Daphnia pulex: one gene and its partners. The protein of the gene in region 2 purifies or fractionates together with the protein of the main gene of each other region. This does not show direct contact. Links are inferred from orthologs where the notes say so. Each region holds a gene or a part of one and is shown on either strand. Other genes may lie near its edges. The genes, in order: serine/threonine-protein phosphatase 6 regulatory ankyrin repeat subunit A-like, AP-2 complex subunit mu and AP-1 complex subunit gamma-1-like.

What was found.
Region 1: the proteins of AP-2 complex subunit mu (region 2) and serine/threonine-protein phosphatase 6 regulatory ankyrin repeat subunit A-like purify together in Homo sapiens (affinity purification with mass spectrometry; 3 studies listed by BioGRID and IntAct, counting the BioPlex papers as one, with this or other methods). This does not show direct contact. The link is inferred for Daphnia pulex from reciprocal best matches to the Homo sapiens genes AP2M1 and ANKRD28.
Region 3: the proteins of AP-2 complex subunit mu (region 2) and AP-1 complex subunit gamma-1-like purify together in Homo sapiens (affinity purification with mass spectrometry; 3 studies listed by BioGRID and IntAct, counting the BioPlex papers as one, with this or other methods). This does not show direct contact. The link is inferred for Daphnia pulex from reciprocal best matches to the Homo sapiens genes AP2M1 and AP1G1.

Annotation. Positions count from the first base shown.
Region 1 is NC_060017.1:4,292,825-4,298,444, reverse strand, and holds the start of serine/threonine-protein phosphatase 6 regulatory ankyrin repeat subunit A-like, read right to left. Parts: upstream 4,013-5,620; 5' UTR 3,846-4,012; coding exon 3,819-3,845; intron 3,641-3,818; exon of another isoform or gene 3,622-3,640; intron 3,551-3,621; coding exon 3,317-3,550; intron 3,242-3,316; coding exon 3,051-3,241; intron 2,989-3,050; coding exon 2,805-2,988; intron 2,700-2,804; coding exon 2,484-2,699; intron 2,421-2,483; coding exon 2,356-2,420; intron 2,288-2,355; coding exon 2,190-2,287; intron 1,878-2,189; coding exon 1,350-1,877; intron 1,281-1,349; coding exon 935-1,280; intron 869-934; coding exon 483-868; intron 272-482; coding exon 184-271; intron 113-183; coding exon 15-112; intron 1-14. UniProt on the Homo sapiens protein: Regulatory subunit of protein phosphatase 6 (PP6) that may be involved in the recognition of phosphoprotein substrates. Involved in the PP6-mediated dephosphorylation of NFKBIE opposing its degradation in response to TNF-alpha.
Region 2 is NC_060028.1:9,468,072-9,473,989, forward strand, and holds AP-2 complex subunit mu, read right to left. Parts: upstream 3,320-5,918; 5' UTR 3,161-3,319; intron 2,797-3,160; 5' UTR 2,770-2,796; coding exon 2,593-2,769; intron 2,523-2,592; coding exon 2,360-2,522; intron 2,290-2,359; coding exon 2,174-2,289; intron 2,102-2,173; coding exon 1,734-2,101; intron 1,669-1,733; coding exon 1,435-1,668; intron 1,361-1,434; coding exon 1,249-1,360; intron 1,187-1,248; coding exon 1,052-1,186; 3' UTR 430-1,051; downstream 1-429. Other genes in the region: polyhomeotic-proximal chromatin protein-like, read right to left, coding at 3,856-4,089, 4,150-4,564, 4,633-4,849, 4,955-5,918.
Region 3 is NC_060026.1:1,551,110-1,556,738, forward strand, and holds the start of AP-1 complex subunit gamma-1-like, read left to right. Parts: upstream 1-1,630; 5' UTR 1,631-1,870; intron 1,871-2,106; 5' UTR 2,107-2,127; coding exon 2,128-2,173; intron 2,174-2,237; coding exon 2,238-2,571; intron 2,572-2,637; coding exon 2,638-2,876; intron 2,877-2,941; coding exon 2,942-3,018; intron 3,019-3,263; coding exon 3,264-3,275; intron 3,276-3,459; coding exon 3,460-3,555; intron 3,556-3,611; coding exon 3,612-3,938; intron 3,939-4,003; coding exon 4,004-4,638; intron 4,639-4,711; coding exon 4,712-4,997; intron 4,998-5,059; coding exon 5,060-5,390; intron 5,391-5,451; coding exon 5,452-5,629. Other genes in the region: Krueppel-like factor 10, read left to right, coding at 42-314, 385-493, 563-663, 730-969. UniProt on the Homo sapiens protein: Subunit of clathrin-associated adaptor protein complex 1 that plays a role in protein sorting in the late-Golgi/trans-Golgi network (TGN) and/or endosomes.

The DNA of each region.
Region 1 (5,620 bases), on a different chromosome or scaffold from region 2:
AAAACAAGATTCACCATGCACGGCCGTTTGTCCTATTCCATCCTTGGCATGAACAGCTGAGGGTCCCAAGTGATCCAACAACACGGCAGCGCATAACTCGTTTCCTTGGGAGCTGTGATAGAAAGTTACATTTATTTGTATCCTGACGGCTCAATCGGAGCTACCGTAAACAACGTAACTTACACAGCACAGTGAAGAGGCGTGAATTGATTTCCAAGTGATGTCGATCCTGAATCAAGTCCTAGGAGCACTTCAACACAATTTTCACGGCCTGCAAATAAACCAAGGAAAAGGGGCGGTCAGGACGATATGATTGATGGTTAGAATTTTCAATTAACATACTACACTAGGACAATTATTATTCAGGCAAACTGAGAGTGGACAATATAATATAAAAGGCTTCAAAGACCAAATGCTATCGCTGAGATGAATCAAAAAAAGGGAAATGAAGAAATGAGAAAAAACAAGGAAAGATTCCTCACCCTTATAAGCTGCCCAATGAAGTGGCGTATAGCTTTGATGGTCTAGTAGTTTCACATCACCTAAAGAATCGGCGCCTTGTTGTATAAGCTGTTTGAGCACATAAACATGTCCCATGGCTGCCGCTAGGTGAAACGGAGTTTTCCCTAGGAAATCCTTTTGATACGGCGAGGCTTTAGCATCTAATAACGAGGAGACACAATCTTCGAATCCTCGACATGAAGCGTAGTGTAAAGCCGTTCGACCGTTGTTATCAAAAAGATCCACTTGAGAAGTGTAACTCAGCAGGATGTCGGTACACGCTTTTCGTCCTTCGTTTTCGTTTTGTACGGCGAGCATTAATGGCGTTCGCTTTTTGGAATCGCGCACATCCACAAGCTGCATATGCCTATCGTTTGAATTAGAAACTTGATCAAATAAACTAAAAACACATGAAATCTTTGATTGCTGTTACGTATGTAGCAATTGTTTGAGGCACAAGGAATGTCCGTTGGCTGCTGCTCTGTGAACTGCAGTTAACAGAGTTTTCGGCTGGGCAACGGGTTGAGCACCGTGTTCAATTAATGCATTTATACATTCGATGTGGCCAAATTGAGCAGAGAGATCCAGTGCAGTCCGTCCGCTGGAATCAGTGATATTTACATCGGGATGTATGGCTGCCAGAGACGTTACGCCTCCTTTGTGACCTTTATAAGCGGCTAAATGAAGGGGGGAGACGTTCATTGATTCATCGGTGTGACCGTTGCTATTGGGTATCACAAAGTGTTTCAACAGCACATGTAAGGCTCCATGCTGTCCACCTATGTAGAATAAAAAAAAAATAGTAAACATCATTTGTTATTTTTCCGAACAACTCTGGGAATGCAAACCTGCCGCAGCGTAGTGAAGTACCGAATAGCCTTGCTTGTCCAAAGCGGAGACGTCTGCTTTGCGTTTCAGTAAATATTCTACACACTTGCCGTCGGTGTCCATAGCAGCGGCGTAATGGAGGGCAGTTGCACCGGTTGAATCTGTTAAATTTACACTGGACCCCACACTGACTAAAGTATAGACGCATTGGAAATGAGCTTGACTTGCAGCATAATGCAATGGAATCCGACCAAAGGAGTCGATCAAATTAAAATCAGCTCCACTACTGATAAGTAAATCAAGGCATTCAGCGTTTCCTTTAAAAGCACACAGATGAAGGCATGTTCTTCCGCAATCATCTTGAGCATCTAATTCACCACGGACTTGAAGGAGCTTTCGACAACATTCTACATAGCCGCTGAGGGCTGCTAAGTGCATTGGAGTCATGCCACTACGACCTTTTCGGCTAGGATCAGCCCCGACGTTGAGAAGCACGCCAATCAATAGTTCGTGCCCGTGTGCAGCTGCAATGTGTAGGGCAGTGCAACCTTAAAAGGAAACCAAAAATAACCATAATAAATACGAGGTGTTTTTATTCCGATGGTTTTGACCAGCGAATTAATATCTAATGAGAAAATAGTCAACAAATAACAAATTACTTTATCACTAGAATTATAGCACAAATTTCTAATGGATTAGCGTAAACCGATTGCTTAGAATACCTAGCTGTAGCTTGTCTATATCCATTTAAAAACTATGTCGAGTGAGTAATTAATGAATATATAAAAATATGTGTCAACTCATGACAAGCTAAAAAATATTAAGATGATTGAATAGTTAAAAAAGAAAGATAGTGCAACCTTCTTTGTCTCCGATATCAACTAGCGCTCCTCGATCCAAAAGCATTTGTGCTCTCATAAATCGCCCGTGAATTGCGGTCATGTGTAAAGGGGTGCGCCTAAAATCAAATGAATTTTACATTGTGATTTATGTTTCCATGCTGTTAACAAAGTGATAAGTTAATACCCGTCTTTAGCTTGAAAATTTATATTCGCATCTCGTTCTATGAGAAGGCCCAAGCAACGTTCTCCCTATGTAAGAATGTTCAAAATCAAACGTAAATTGTATTCATCTAAAGTGATTTTTCGGCTTACATGAGTCGCAGCAGCAGATACATGAATTGGAGTCTGCCCTGCTAAATTTACAGCACTGACAGAAGTTCCTGATGCTATGAGATCCTGACAGACCAATTCATGTCCGTTAAGACAAGCTGTATGAAGCGGAGTGTTACCGAATGAATTACTGGCATTAAAATCGGCCCCCGCTTCTAGGAGTTGTTGCACCACAAAAACTTGTCCACTAGCAGCAGCCTAATTCAAATTAATGGGTGTTATTTCCGTGAATTCTCATAATTATTTGGCGGAACTTAGAGTTAGTGGTAAAACATGGTAAGACAAATGTTATTGGGAAATTACCGCGTGCAATGGCGAATACAAGTCTTTATCTCGTATATTTACTTCAGCTCCATTCTGCAGTAAGATTTTCACGACGGACTCATGACCCATGTAAGATGCCCAATGTAGTGCGCGTCTATCTCTTTTGTCGAACGCATTCACCGAGGCTCCATGCTCAATCAAAAGTTCTACCAAATCACAGTGACTAGAAAAATGAACAAAATCAGTTAGGGAAACTAAACACATCACAGAGATCACAAATCTCACCCATTAAAAGAAGCATGATGCAGTGCTGTACGACCTGTTCTGTCAGAAACATTTACAGTAGGAGATGAAGCGAGTAGGGCTTCAGCACATTTGTAAGCATTATTACAGCTGGCCACATGTAAAGGAGTCTGCCAGTTTTTATCACGAGCATTGGTATCAGCATTATACTTCAGCAAAACATTAACTGCATCCTGCAAAATAAACCAAATATGTGTAACTACTAGAGAAAACTATAAACATTTATCATCAAATCATTATTTTGTTACCTCATTTCCTGATTTGCAAGCTCTATGTAAAGGTGTAAGCCACTTGGAATCTTTGATATTTATTCTTGCTCCCTTTTGTATTAAAAAGTCTGTGATGTTGGCATCACCTTTGAATGCAGCAGCATGCAACGGACTGCGTTTTTCTTCATCTTGATAATTGATGTCAACATTTTCCTTCAATAGATTTTTTATTTCGTTGAAATCTCCTTTGAAAATTGCTTGAACAAGAAGAGGCTGCAAAAATGCAAATTTACGTCAGTCATATTTAACTAATAATTTTAACATAGCAACATAATTAGTGTCACTTAAGTTGTAAAGCGATTTCATCTCAACCGTCGAGACACTGGTACTTGCGTCACAACGTTAAAACTGAAACAGTTTGATGCATTTTGAAAAATTGAAAACAAAGTAAAATCAAAATACTTTGTTTGTGAATATTGAATACTTTAATCGCACGATTTCTGTTAATTATTGACACAATTCTGTCTGTAAGCAAACTCACTTCATTATTAAGATCTAAGATAACCATTTCAAACAACTTTCCGGTCTCGTTCACGAAAAAAATTGAGAAAGGAATTTACATGAGTAACAAAACCACATGAAGGAAGAACCGGAAGAACTAAATGGTTTTGTTATGTCGTGCGCCACCATGCACCACCGTGGTGTCATGAGCAAAGCACAGCAGTATGATACGTATATACGTGGGATGGTCACGTGTCTATCCAAGGGGAGGGGCTAGTTTGGAAAAATCTGGTCTCTTTGAATTTCTTCCTTCAAATTTTCAAACCAGCCAGTCGCCAGCGCCATCTCTGGAACTTGCCATGCAGCGTGTAGACCAGGTTCCTAGCAGACGTCAGGTGTGCTAAAATGACAAGTTCAAACTCCAAACTGTCATCAAGTTTGATTTGATTTGACATCGATTTGTTTTTGTGTTCGCTACTCGGACCAGGCTTTTATCCCTTCATTAATTAGAAAGATATAATCTAGACTAACCCAAGAGGGACCGGCCGGGCACGGCAATTCTTCGTAATATTTAAATGAAAGGAGAGTGATAATAATCCGTTGCTTTTCGGATGCTTTTATTTCGTGATAACATACAACACGGAATTCAAATATGTGGACATAGATATTACAGCCAATAAATCAAGGACATCTCTATTCAAATGTTCCTAATATTTTGAAAAAATTAAAATGTTACGTTAAGGATTTGGAATATTCGATTTCCCGATGTGTAATTCCTTGGCGCAAAACTACGTCTTTATGAAATAATAGTGTTAACCATATAAAAATTATACAAAAAAAAAATAATTTTTAAGAAAGATTTTCTTTGCAAATATCAACTCAAGGAAAATAACTGACACGCGAAATATGTTCTACTAAAAGGAAGGAGAAAACACAAAATGAAAAGGTGTGACTGTTTGAGGAACTAAAAAACGACTAACGCAGGATAAATACTTTAACAACAATTAAGCGTGCAACACGTACTGTCCAATTAAACATATTACATAATTGTTTGTTAATTAATTTGTGTTAAATGTTTCACATGATATAATTTTGTATGTTGGATCACGCAGAATGGAAAGTACCGAACTTATGCAAACTAACGTCTATAATTCAATATTAACTTGTAGTTGATAAGTCGATCTTTCGAAACCTTTCCTTTCGGTCGTTTCACAAAAATAGTTAGTGCGTTACTGTGTATTCCTACGTGTAATAAACTCATTTTTAATCAAAACAATAATAATAACGTTTCATAGTTTCTTTTTGTTTCTCGTATGTCCCTATTCAAGTTCAGTTCTTTATTACCCAGCCATTTAATTTGTAAAAAGGTCTTTAAAAATCATATAAAATATTTAAAAAAAAAAACTCTGTCATCTAATCGTTACTAGTCTGATTTTTTAACGGTTGAGGATATAATTAAGGGTATAGTCCATCATGTTGAGAGATGAGGCAAAGTTCTAGTTAGCCCACTATTTAGAATTCTTAAACCAGGGAATGCCAGTTCGGCAGCAGCCGGACAGTTCATCGTCTTGTTAATTAATTATTTTGTGTTTTAAAAGAGCAACATTCTAGAAAAACGCTTCTTTTGTTGCCACGTGATTTAAGATGCAACAAATTGAGAAACAAAATAAAAACTCAATTTTGTTGCTCATTTTCATCGCTTCGGACCGACTATAGGACTCTTCTCAGGCCTCTTGTAAACTAGGAGGAAATAAGCAGTGCATAAATCAAGTGCTATTCGGAGGGTTAGTTTCTACTGGATTGACTGTGCGATCGGGGATTTATCGAAAATGGCCCAGAATT
Region 2 (5,918 bases):
TGGAGCGTATTTTCCCCGGTCGACCCGGAAAAACGAACACAAGAAGAAGCGCGTACGAAGCATGCATGAATGAACGATTGGGGATGATTGAATTCTTTCTCTTTTCCTTCTTTTAGTTTCCAGCGGAGCGAGGGAGGTGAAAATTATTCCATTCGTGTCGTACCAAAAGTTGAGCAACTCTACTATATAAAAAAACTCTCGGAAATAAAAGTTATATCAGGCAGATCTCGATTCGTCACCATTTATGGGTAACATGGACATGGGGTCCGACATGGCATCACGCTCATATCTTTTTGGGTTAACAACTTCTTGCCCGCCGACTGTCTCTAGCTCTCCCTTTTTTCCCTACCAACATTTCGCTTCTGGCTCACCCTTCACAAACGAAGAGGATAGAAAACAAGCAACTCAAGTGACAGCCACGGTGGAGGCTCAGTTACTCATCCCTAATGTAATGTGCACAGACACAAAAAAAAACTGGGTAAATCAAAACATGTAACATATAAATCACGCGCACAAACAGAGAGAGAAAAAGAGAGAGAGAGAACGCGAACTGCTAATCCAAGCAGTAACAACGCAATCCAGTCAAGACGACTATTCTGTGGATATTTTTTTTCTTTTTTTGGGGGTAGGGGGAGAAGGGGGTTAATTTCGCTCTCTGCGCACTAACAATGATATAGATGGGAAGGAAAAATAATTCCGACGACGTACTCAACACTCAACACGGATGAAAAAAAATAAAAGGAAGAGAAAAGAAGTAGATGAGAGAAGTACAAGCTTTTGAATATTAAACTAAACAGAATTTTGATCCTGGATGAAAGAAACTTAACAGACAGAGCTACTTTTCCCATTAGCAGGATTCATCCACTCTCTCGCACCGCTCAGCAGATGCAACAACGACATCGACCTAAGTATAAGACAGACTAACAAAGATCTTTCTTCTTTTTTTTTCTTCTTTCGGACGAGTAGTAAGTGATGGGTTAATCATGAAGAGGAGAAATAGAATTGGAGACGAGTTTCTTCATCTTCCAACGAAAATGAATCGTCCGTTTCTTCAGCAACGCGTTTCGTAGAGGCCGCTGCGTCCGATGTAGCGAACCCATTTGATGACGTCGTGATCAGAATAGTTCAACTTGGGTTCAAAGACTTTCAAATATCGAACTTTAAAGCCCGATGGTGCAAACGGAACCTATGATAGAAATCCAAATTAGAGCAATCGATATGCACGACACACATCATCCTCGAAAATACCTCAAAGTTCATGGAAATGGGGGGTCGAGTCCACTTCTTTTTCGTGTCCGTTTGCAAAAGCTCAATTTCAGCTGAAAGTTGTGATTCCTTCATACCTCCCATCCGTTTGATCCTGTCAACATCAACACCACACAAGTTTAACAACACAGCTCTAATGTTTGATCTAAAGAAAAGTTTGCAACTGACTTCCAAACGATGGCGTTCTCAGAAGCTTTGTACTTGGCTTTGCCTTTCATGCACAAAAGTTGAACGCCCGATGTATTGAGAGGCGTTGGAATGCGTATCTCGATTTTCTGTGCCAGGAGCGAAGGTTTGAAGTTAGACTTGACAACCACTTTGACTTCCATCTTTGTCCGGCCCACTTCGCGCACCAACGGTATAACTCGGAAAGGTAACGAAATGTCCTTGGTCGTTCGGTACCTGCAATCGAAAATAACACTTGTTAGCATAAATTCAATGTATATACCAAAGGAGAACAGACTAACCTCATGAGTTCAAACTCTCCGTCAGGGGGAATAAAGCTAATCGAATGCTCCGTTTCGAATTTAGACAACTTGACACACTGGTGAAATTGACAGTCGTCAATCACAATAGCTGTCTTGCCAGTGCGAGCAGCGGATTCATCCGCAGTAGGTTTACCCTTAGCCTCCATGATAATCTTATCGTTGATTCCAAACTTGCATTCGGGCATGCCTGACAAGTAGGATTTCATCACTACTTTGCCAGCCACGTGAGCTGAAAGTACTTGACCCTGCGGCGACATTAGAAGGTTGACGTATTCCAATACGTCAAGGAAGAGTTCGTTTCGCCGGTACTTGATGCCTTCGCGTCGCCAGCCGATTTGGCCTGTCACCTGGAAATCATAACCACATGATTATATTTTAAAAACAATCATTGAGCATTAATTGTTTGAGCGAATCTATACCTGAGAGGTAATCTGGGCCTGCTCTTCTTTGGTTTGCGTGCGAATACCTTGCTGAGTAATAAACGTCTTCAACACTCCCGTGTCGGTATTTTGGGGATAGCCAAAATCAAGAATCTCTGATAGAATGAATAAATTGGATAAGGAACAACACACAAACAAATAAATTGTGTTTGCTTCCCAACATACCATCCAAAAGTTCGTAAATGAGGACAAAATTGTTCTTGATGTTTTCCTCTGATACCTTACCAAAGTATGACTGCATGCAGTCAGTGACCTTCAAGAGAAACTCGAAAACCATAGAGGCATTGACATTTTGTTTGGTGACAGCTGCCACCCAAATATTAGCACGCTAAAAAAAGGTAAAGGATTATTGATCCTGAGAACATTAAAACATTTCAAAATGGCAAATCAGAAAATACCTTAACATGGAAGAAGGAGGTTCTGGCAATGTTTGTAACAGGTGATCTGACTTGCTGCCTAGCATGGATGACATTTACTCGGAAAGCATCAACTGCATTTCTGCCAATGTCATCACGGTACACACGTGATATTAGGACCTCTCCTTTGTGATTGTAGATGAAAAGGCCTCCAATCATCTTGACTCTTGAAGCTTTGTGATAAACCTATGAATGAAGAAAATAACACTTTTTTTTCAAACGTGCAGAATGACATTTAGCATGTATACAAGTCCATAAGAACTCTTTGGTAGATGGTTTGCTCTGTGAACTAGAGTATGCAAATGAAGCTATGCAACTTTTTGTTGAAATGTTGAATTATCTTTTTGCCATGCATGCACGAGTTCTTTTGATTGCCTTCACAGGATATCCCGTCTCAATACCGGTAGACTAGCTGATATATCGAGCAACGCCTACCAATAAACTTTCGCATTACCCAACACACAACCACCGTTCCTGAAGATCACGGTCTTGTGTCGCTTTAAACATCATAATTCAAAACCACACCAACGAAAAAAACATAACCTCTTACCTCAAAGTAACTGTTACCAGCCCAATTTCTCCCACTGTGGATAAGTATTCAATTTGGTTTGATAGCAGACTTGTACTGTCAGAGTGAAATGACAGTAACACAGTGCTAACAAGAAAGAAAGTCAATCCATATCACAGGCCAAACAGCTGAAGTCCGTAAAGCGCTCGGAGCGCCACATTTGAAATACTCGGGTGGAAGTAGAACTTTCAAGGTTAAAATCATTTTCAAGAATTCGACTGATTCAAGCATTTTTTAAAAATATACCATTAAAAATAATACGAAATACGTTTGATTCAATGGATTTTTATGTATATTTAAATTATTATTACAATGTCAATTTATTACACTGAAAACGAAAATTCTTCGTTCCGAAAATGTTATATGCGGTTATATGGCATTTTTGTCCTAAATGCCTTTTGTTACACCGAGCATTACATTTTGTATGAATGATCTATATATATATATTTGTTCACTGACGATCTATGTGTCATACGAAATGAGAATTACTGTAATGAAGGTGAATAACCAAAGCAAAATACGTAGAGAGAAATGACGAAGAAACATATCGTGAACCATAAACAAACTATAGACAGAAAAGTACAATGAGTCAAATTACAGTTGAATGAGGCAAACATAACACGTATCGATTTCTGGTGGAGAACAACACAAAAATGGGGGATTGAACTTTTCCCACATTAATTTCCGTTTTGTGGATTGCTATTACCGCCCTCAGAGGAGGATGCACCACGCATAGCATCAATCTTGGCGCAAATCTTCAATGCCGGCCCAAGTTTCATCGACATGGCAGACATCAAATGATCGGCTTTCAATAACATGAGCGCTTGGCCATCAATTTCCTGCAATGCGAAATCTTCGGCATAATCTGCACATCCAGTTAAACTTCGCACGAAATCCGCGACCTCGGTAACCTGAATGAATAGAAGTCTTAATTATCAGTGCAATCTAAGTCGTAACAATAAATAACTTACACTCCACTTGGCTGGATTAGTTTTCGGCTCAGGTTTGAGCTGGTGAGTTGGTGTTTGAGATAGTGAGGCTGTGGGAGAACGCAATTGCTGAGCAGCCAGAGCACACAACTCTGCATCCAAGCTGATATCTTCTTTATCTCCAGAGGGAGCAAAGCTCGTTGGAGGAGTTGGGCCCTGAGGAATTGTCACGGCCGTTGGAGAAGCCAATTTGTTGTTGGCTTCGGCTGTTGTTGAAGCAGCAGCGGGTGAGTGAGTGGTTGACGTCGCAGTGGTCAGTAGCCCACCACCACCGCCAACGGCTGCTTTTACTCCCTGACCGTTGACACAAGTCGTTGTCGAGACAGTTTCCTGCTGCTGCTGCTGCTGTTGATTCGGCTGAACGGGTCCAACTGCTGGCGAAGCATTTATGTTAGACCTATTTCAAAAGTAAACAAACACGGTTAAAATTAAAAGAGTCAAAAGATAAATGGGTTAATGACATACTTTTTCGAGCAGGCTGTGGAACAAAAGCGTTTTGAACGACGAAATTTGGAAATGAAATCCATTTTTCCACATCCCTCGCATGTGGCCATGGTAGCTCCTTTAGGCGTCGACATCTGCTGAAGATCGTTAGTTGTTGTGGTGGTAGGCGGCGCAGGCGGGGGTGCCAGAGGTGGAGATTGATGGGTCACTGTAGGTTGTTCCATATGTAATTTTTTCTCTGTTTAAGGGAGGGGGGAATTTGGGTCATGAGTAAACCAAACTTTGGCAAAACTAAATACATGCAATCAAACAAAACATCAATTATTTGAAAAAATAATCTTACTCGGAGGTTCTCCATCCAATTTGAAACTGTGATCTTGATTCCGTTGTCCGTTGCAGCGCGTCAGAGATTCATTCGGATGGAAACGGCCGACTGGGAAAGGTTCCGATGACTCTTGGATCACAAAGTCACCCAATACGTGGGTCAATATCTGAGGCCGTACAACTGCTTGAGGCAAATTGGGGTCTTTTTTCTCGCGGATAGCTGGCGAATGACTAACCATGTGATGATCTCCTTGATTTCCTCCTATTCCGTTCATCTGAGGCGTTTCTTTCTTTTCGGTAGACGGTTCCTCTACAGCAGGAGTTGTTGTCGTAGGGGCCGAAGGGGTTTGAGAGTCGGTTACTGCATTGCGAGGAGATGGTTTCGGCTCTTCTACTTTTTCGGTAGTACTGGGCAGCGGTGTTGTTGATGGCTGTGTCCGAGCCGGAGAAGGTAGAGGAAATTGAGGTGCTGGGGAAGCTGAGACAGTAACTGTTACTGGCTGTAAAGTCGACATAGCCATTCGTGGTCCCTGAGTGGAAATGGTGATTGGCGACGAAGATGGAGGTACTGCGTGCGTCATATTGGCCATGGCGGATAATGGCGCAGCCGGTCCAACGGTAATCAATCCGCCACCTAATGGAGTGGGCATTCGAGCTGATGAGGTCACGGCCGGATTTGTAATGAAGCAAGTCGTATTCGATTGACTGCTGGACATTGGCATATGAATGTTTAATTGTCCGTGTTGGTGCTGGCTAAGATCGCCATTCATGTTTTGAAAATTATTCATGGGAGTTGCAGAACGTATGTTGTGCGTTCCCGTCATTCCAATCGGGTAGACTGCGGATCCGACAGGGATCGTCAAAATCTGTGGATGCTGTTGGTCCGTTTTATCGTTAGATGAAACATTGACTTGGTGTGGATGAGGAGCCATTGCAAGCAAATTTGGAGGTTGATTTGGTTGGTGTTGTTGCTGCTGTTGTTG
Region 3 (5,629 bases), on a different chromosome or scaffold from region 2:
AGAGAGAATTTTTTTAACATTTTCGATTTTTTGATTGATAGGCGATCCCGATAAAATCGCCAGTGGCCATTGCTCCCAAATTGATGCTGAATAGTGCGGCTTTGGGTAATTGTAATGTAATCAATGGATCGTCAGCAACTCGAGTGATCCCGGTCGTGCCGTTGGGGGCAGCAACCGGTGCCGATATTGGCTCGATGGGCGCCAATGGCGCTACTCTTTTCCTGGCACCCTGTGATAACAACGGACAAATAACGCATTTTGTTTTGACTACGGCCGGTATCCCATCCATGACCCTCATCGCTCCAAACAAGATGGTATATACCATTTGATTACGATTTTTCAAACTCGGTCATGTAAAACTAAAATCGAATGTTGGAATTCCAGGAAAGGGAGGTGGATAAACGTCGGCGTATTTATGAATGCCAATTCGAAGGATGTGGCAAAAACTATTTTAAATCATCTCATTTGAAGGCTCACATGAGGACTCATACTGGTAGGTTATAATTATTTAAAAAGGTTTCTCACAAATTTTTTATTCAAATTTTTTCCCTAATCGACTTAGGTGAGAAACCATTCGTCTGCAGCTGGGATGGATGTGATCGCCGTTTCTCGCGTTCAGACGAACTGTCCCGTCACAAACGCACTCACACTGGCGAAAAAAAGGTATAATTTCTAATTTTTGTTTTGTAAAACAATTTGAATTCTTTACAATTGAATTTTTAAAAACAGTTTAGCTGCCCAGTTTGCCAACGCCGTTTCATGCGCTCTGACCACTTGACCAAGCACGTCCGTCGTCATGCTCGCGAGCAAAAACCAATGGCTTGGCAGCTGGCCACTCGCAAACTAGCCTCAGCTAGTTCTTCTACTGCTGTTACTGCTCCTACTACTACTGCCGGCCCTGCTGTGGCTTCTCAATTGATCCCGGCGCAGATTATCCTCTCCGCCTCAACTGCCATTCCCTCAATTTAAGAAAAGAAAAAATAAGCAAAATGATGATGAAATGTTTATTATTTTTCGAATCCTTTTTTTTGTTTTTACTTTGGGGGGTTAGTAGTTACATATGTTTATTTGTTTTTAAAAGCAGACAAAAAGGGCGGGACCTCTGTAGGACACAGTATATATACATCAGCTGTGTGTCTACGGTCGGTCAGTAGGTTATCTCTTCATAACAGCAGCAGCAGGGGGAAGGGGGCGGATATATTTTGTAATGTCCTCTTGTTTTATTTCATTTTTCTTGTTTCAGTTGTCGATGCAACGGCGACACAAATTTCTGTCCCGACCATCGACACGACACATTTTGTTGTGTTATTTGTTAAAACGATTCGTTCGAGCCGTCTAGAGCTTGTTAATTATTTTTATTCACACACACACACACACAAATGATTTATGATAACTATCGAGCTAAATAATAATCGTGTTTCGAACGAATGGACATAATAAATTACGATATTGATCAAGAATATTACGGGTCTAGAATATGAATACAATTAAATAACATTATAAAAAAAAAGCTTTTCTTTTTAACAACACAATGTCGGGAATCAATCGACGTATATATAAGAAAACATAAGAAAACGTACACCCACCGACAACCGCCCCCATTTCCCGACCGGTCTGAATTTTGTTTATTCGGCAATGCTCCACGTCACCTGGGCTGAAAAAGATGGTGGTCGTCGTGTTAGTTTATGACAAATTTTTTAACCGTGCGTGAACTATATACTAGAGCACTCTCTTTAATATATATATATATTTACAATTTACTTTTGTTTGTTGTGCGTGAATCTTTCTCGAAGGCGGCTACGAGTTTTGTTGTTAATCAAAACTCTTTGTTTCTCGAATTTTTGAAAAAAAGTTACCGTGTAGCCATTCGGTGAGTGTTTTATAGACTTGACATGGTTTTTTTTTCTTCTCTCTTTTTCACGAACGATTTGTAAACTGTTAGGCTGTCCATCTGTATTCTAACAAGTGGGTCATTAAGGGAAAACTAAATTATTTTCAAGTTGTAGTTGACCTCAACCTATTGGGAATTTTGTTTGATAGTTTTGGGTAGCATATTAAAACTAAACAACATAAGATTTGACATTGATTGTGTGCTCGACAATACAGGGCTGAACAACACCCACTACAATGGCTAATGCTATTAAGCAAGTCATCAATGAGGTGGCTGAAAAAGGTATGATAAGTCAAAGCATTTATCTTGTATGATGTAATACCCATTTTTGATTTCTATTATTCAGTTAAAATGCCCTCCACGCCCACTCGTCTGAGGGATTTGATACGCCAGATTCGTGCTGCCAGGACAGCTGCAGAGGAGCGGGCTGTGGTGAACAAAGAATGTGCCTACATTAGGGCATCATTCAGGGAAGAGGATTCACAGTGGAGATGTCGGAATGTTGCCAAGCTGCTCTACATACACATGCTTGGCTACCCAGCTCATTTCGGTCAACTAGAGTGTCTGAACCTCATTGCCTCACCCAGGTTCACCGATAAACGAATTGGATATCTTGGGGCAATGCTTTTGCTGGATGAACGCCAAGATATTCATGTCCTCATCACCAACTCCTTGAAGAAGTATGTCTCTGTTCATATTCAATTTCTCTAATGAGATTACCTTTGTCAACCTGTTTTCTACTCTAGTGATTTAAACAACCCCGTCCAGTTTATCGTTGGTTTGGCCCTGTGCACCTTGGGTGCCATTGCGTCGCCTGAAATGTCACGCGATTTGGCCTCTGAAGTTGAGCGGTTGCTCAAGTCCACCAACGCCTACTTAAGGAAGAAGGCGGCCTTGTGTGCTTTCCGAATTATCGGCAAAGTGCCAGAGCTCATGGAAATGTTTTTACCCGCCACAAGATCACTCATCTCAGATAAAAATCACGGTATTCACTCTTGAACATTGTACATGTCTCTTTTACTGGTACTAAAAATTATTTGATGGAATTAGGCGTTTTAATTACGGGAGTCACACTAATCATCGAAATGTGCGAACGGAGTCCAGACACTTTGATTCACTTCAAAAAGGTACACGTCGGATTTTAAAAAATCCTTTTCTGAACGAATTTCTATCGTTTATTTATGCAATCCTCGTTATTTTTAACAAATTATTAATCAATCCACATCCTTTAATTAATCAAATCGTGAAGAAAAACTGAATGTTAATACGTTCCCGTTTGTTTTTTTTGTTTTGTTTCTGTTTCCTTGTTGCGGGATCATCTCTCTCTCTCCCCCCTACGTTGACAAAAACAAAATTTCTTTGCTTTACTTAGGAGCATCGCGAGGTAAAGCATCTTTCGATGTTGTTCGATCCTCTGCACACTCTTGCAATGCACCCTTTTGTTTGTCTGTGTCTGTTTTGTTTGTTTGGGTCGCGTTTTTCGGTGTTTTAATTGGCGTCGTCTGGGCGCAGTTTTAACGATTCTAATTGTTATCTTTTATTTTGATCGTTCTCTCCGCAAATACCAGGTGGTCCCCAGTTTAGTGCGTATTCTCAAGAATTTGATCATGGCAGGTTATTCACCAGAGCATGATGTTTCTGGTGTGAGCGACCCCTTTCTCCAGGTACAATTTTTTACGACTAGATTGTCTTTCTGCAATTAATAAATTCTTGAACACAGGTGAAAATTTTGCGGTTGTTGCGAGTCCTGGGCCATAACGACGCCGAAGCTTCTGAAGCGATGAACGACATTTTGGCGCAGGTGGCCACCAATACGGAGACGTCGAAGAATGTCGGCAACGCCATTCTGTATGAAACGGTGCTTTCGATCATGCACATCAAGTCGGAGAGTGGCTTACGTGTCCTGGCCGTCAACATTCTCGGCCGCTTTCTGCTCAATAGCGACAAGAATATTCGATACGTGGCGCTCAACACGCTGTTGCGCACCGTTCACGCAGACAATTCGGCCGTCCAGCGACATCGTGCCACTATACTCGAGTGCCTTAAGGTTTTATCAAATTCTAAACTACACCAGTGGATTTGAATTTTAAATGAATCTTTGGAATTAATTAGGATCCCGATGTATCCATCAAGAGGAGGGCGCTGGAATTGAGTTTTGCGCTCATCAACGGATCCAACATCCGAGCAATGATGAAGGAGCTGTTGGCTTTTTTGGAGAAATCCGACGCCGAATTCAAGGCCCAGTGTTCGTCTGGAATTGTCAGCGCTACTGAAAGATTCTCACCCAACCGGCGGTGGCATGTCGATACACTGCTGAGAGTTTTGATTGCCGCTGGCAACTTTCTGCGAGACGACGTCGTTTCTAACACGATCCAAATCATTTCGGAGAGCGCCTCGCTCCAGGGCTACGCAGTCGGTCAGTTGTGGAGAGCCGTTAGCTGCTCTTCGGGCTCTTTACAGCACGACGGACAGCCGGGCGATTTAGACTTGCAAGGAGCTACGCTGCCCATCTCTGAACGCCAGCCTCTGGCTCAAGTCGCTTCGTGGTGCCTGGGCGAGTACGGCGACAGTCTCATCAATGGACACACCAACGCCAGCGAACAGGAAGAACCGGTCGTTGCCGGTGAGGACGAAGTGGTTGATTTCATTCAGGGCATTCTCTCGTCGAGCCAAAGTACCATCGTTACCAAGCAATATGCTTTGACGGCCCTCACCAAGCTCAGTACACGTTTCAGCGTCACTGTCGGGTAATTATATCTAATCAGTTGATTAAGAGAGTCGTAAACCAACTAATCTCGATTGTTTGTTTTGCATTCGTAGTCGTATCGAAGATATCGTGACCAGTTTCGGCACTCATTTGAATGTTGAGCTGCAGCAGCGCGGTATCGAGTACGCCCAGCTATTTACCAAGCACGTAGCACTACGTCCGGCCATCATGGAGCGCATACCGCCCATGGAACACAAGACATCACACCAGGGACTGACGAACGGAAGTTCCGGAGGAAACGGAGTCAGCAATGGCGACGATGACATGTTAATGGATGATTTGAATTCTTTCACGACTACCAGCATCACAAGTCATTCGGCACCGGCCACTAAAGATTCGGTAAATTACATTTCATCCATTCGGTTCCAAATGAAGTTTAATAAATTTTGTGGGGTTTTTAGAATTCTTTGCTCAATCTACTGGGTGGATTGGACAATTTTGATAATGGCCCTGCCCCGATGGTGACGAGCTCGAAAGCCTCTACAGCTCCGTCTGCCTCGAATTTGGATCTGCTCGACTTGTTGGGCGGTTTGGACTTGAGCGGATCGACGACACTTTCGTCAGCTCCGCCACCAATCACTACACCTACTGGTTCTACAAGCAGCAGCTTAGTCAACAATAATTTGGCTAATTTGCTCAGTTCACCGACGACCCAAATGAGTGCCGCCATCCCGCCTAGTTCTAATTTCTTAATCGATGGGTTCCTAGGGACTGCACCTACACCCCCACCAAGTAATAACTAAAAATAATAATTTAAAAGAAAGTTTGAATTACCAAATTTCTATTTTTCTAGAACTTCAAAATGTAACGGCCTATGATAAAAACGGACTCAGAGTGGATTTCTCTTTTGACCGTCCGGTCGACAACCCCAATTTGGTGATAGTCACATTGACGGCCAGCTCTTCGTACGGTTCCACACTGTGCGATTTCCTCTTCCAGGCCGCCGTGCCGAAGACATTCCAACTGCAAAT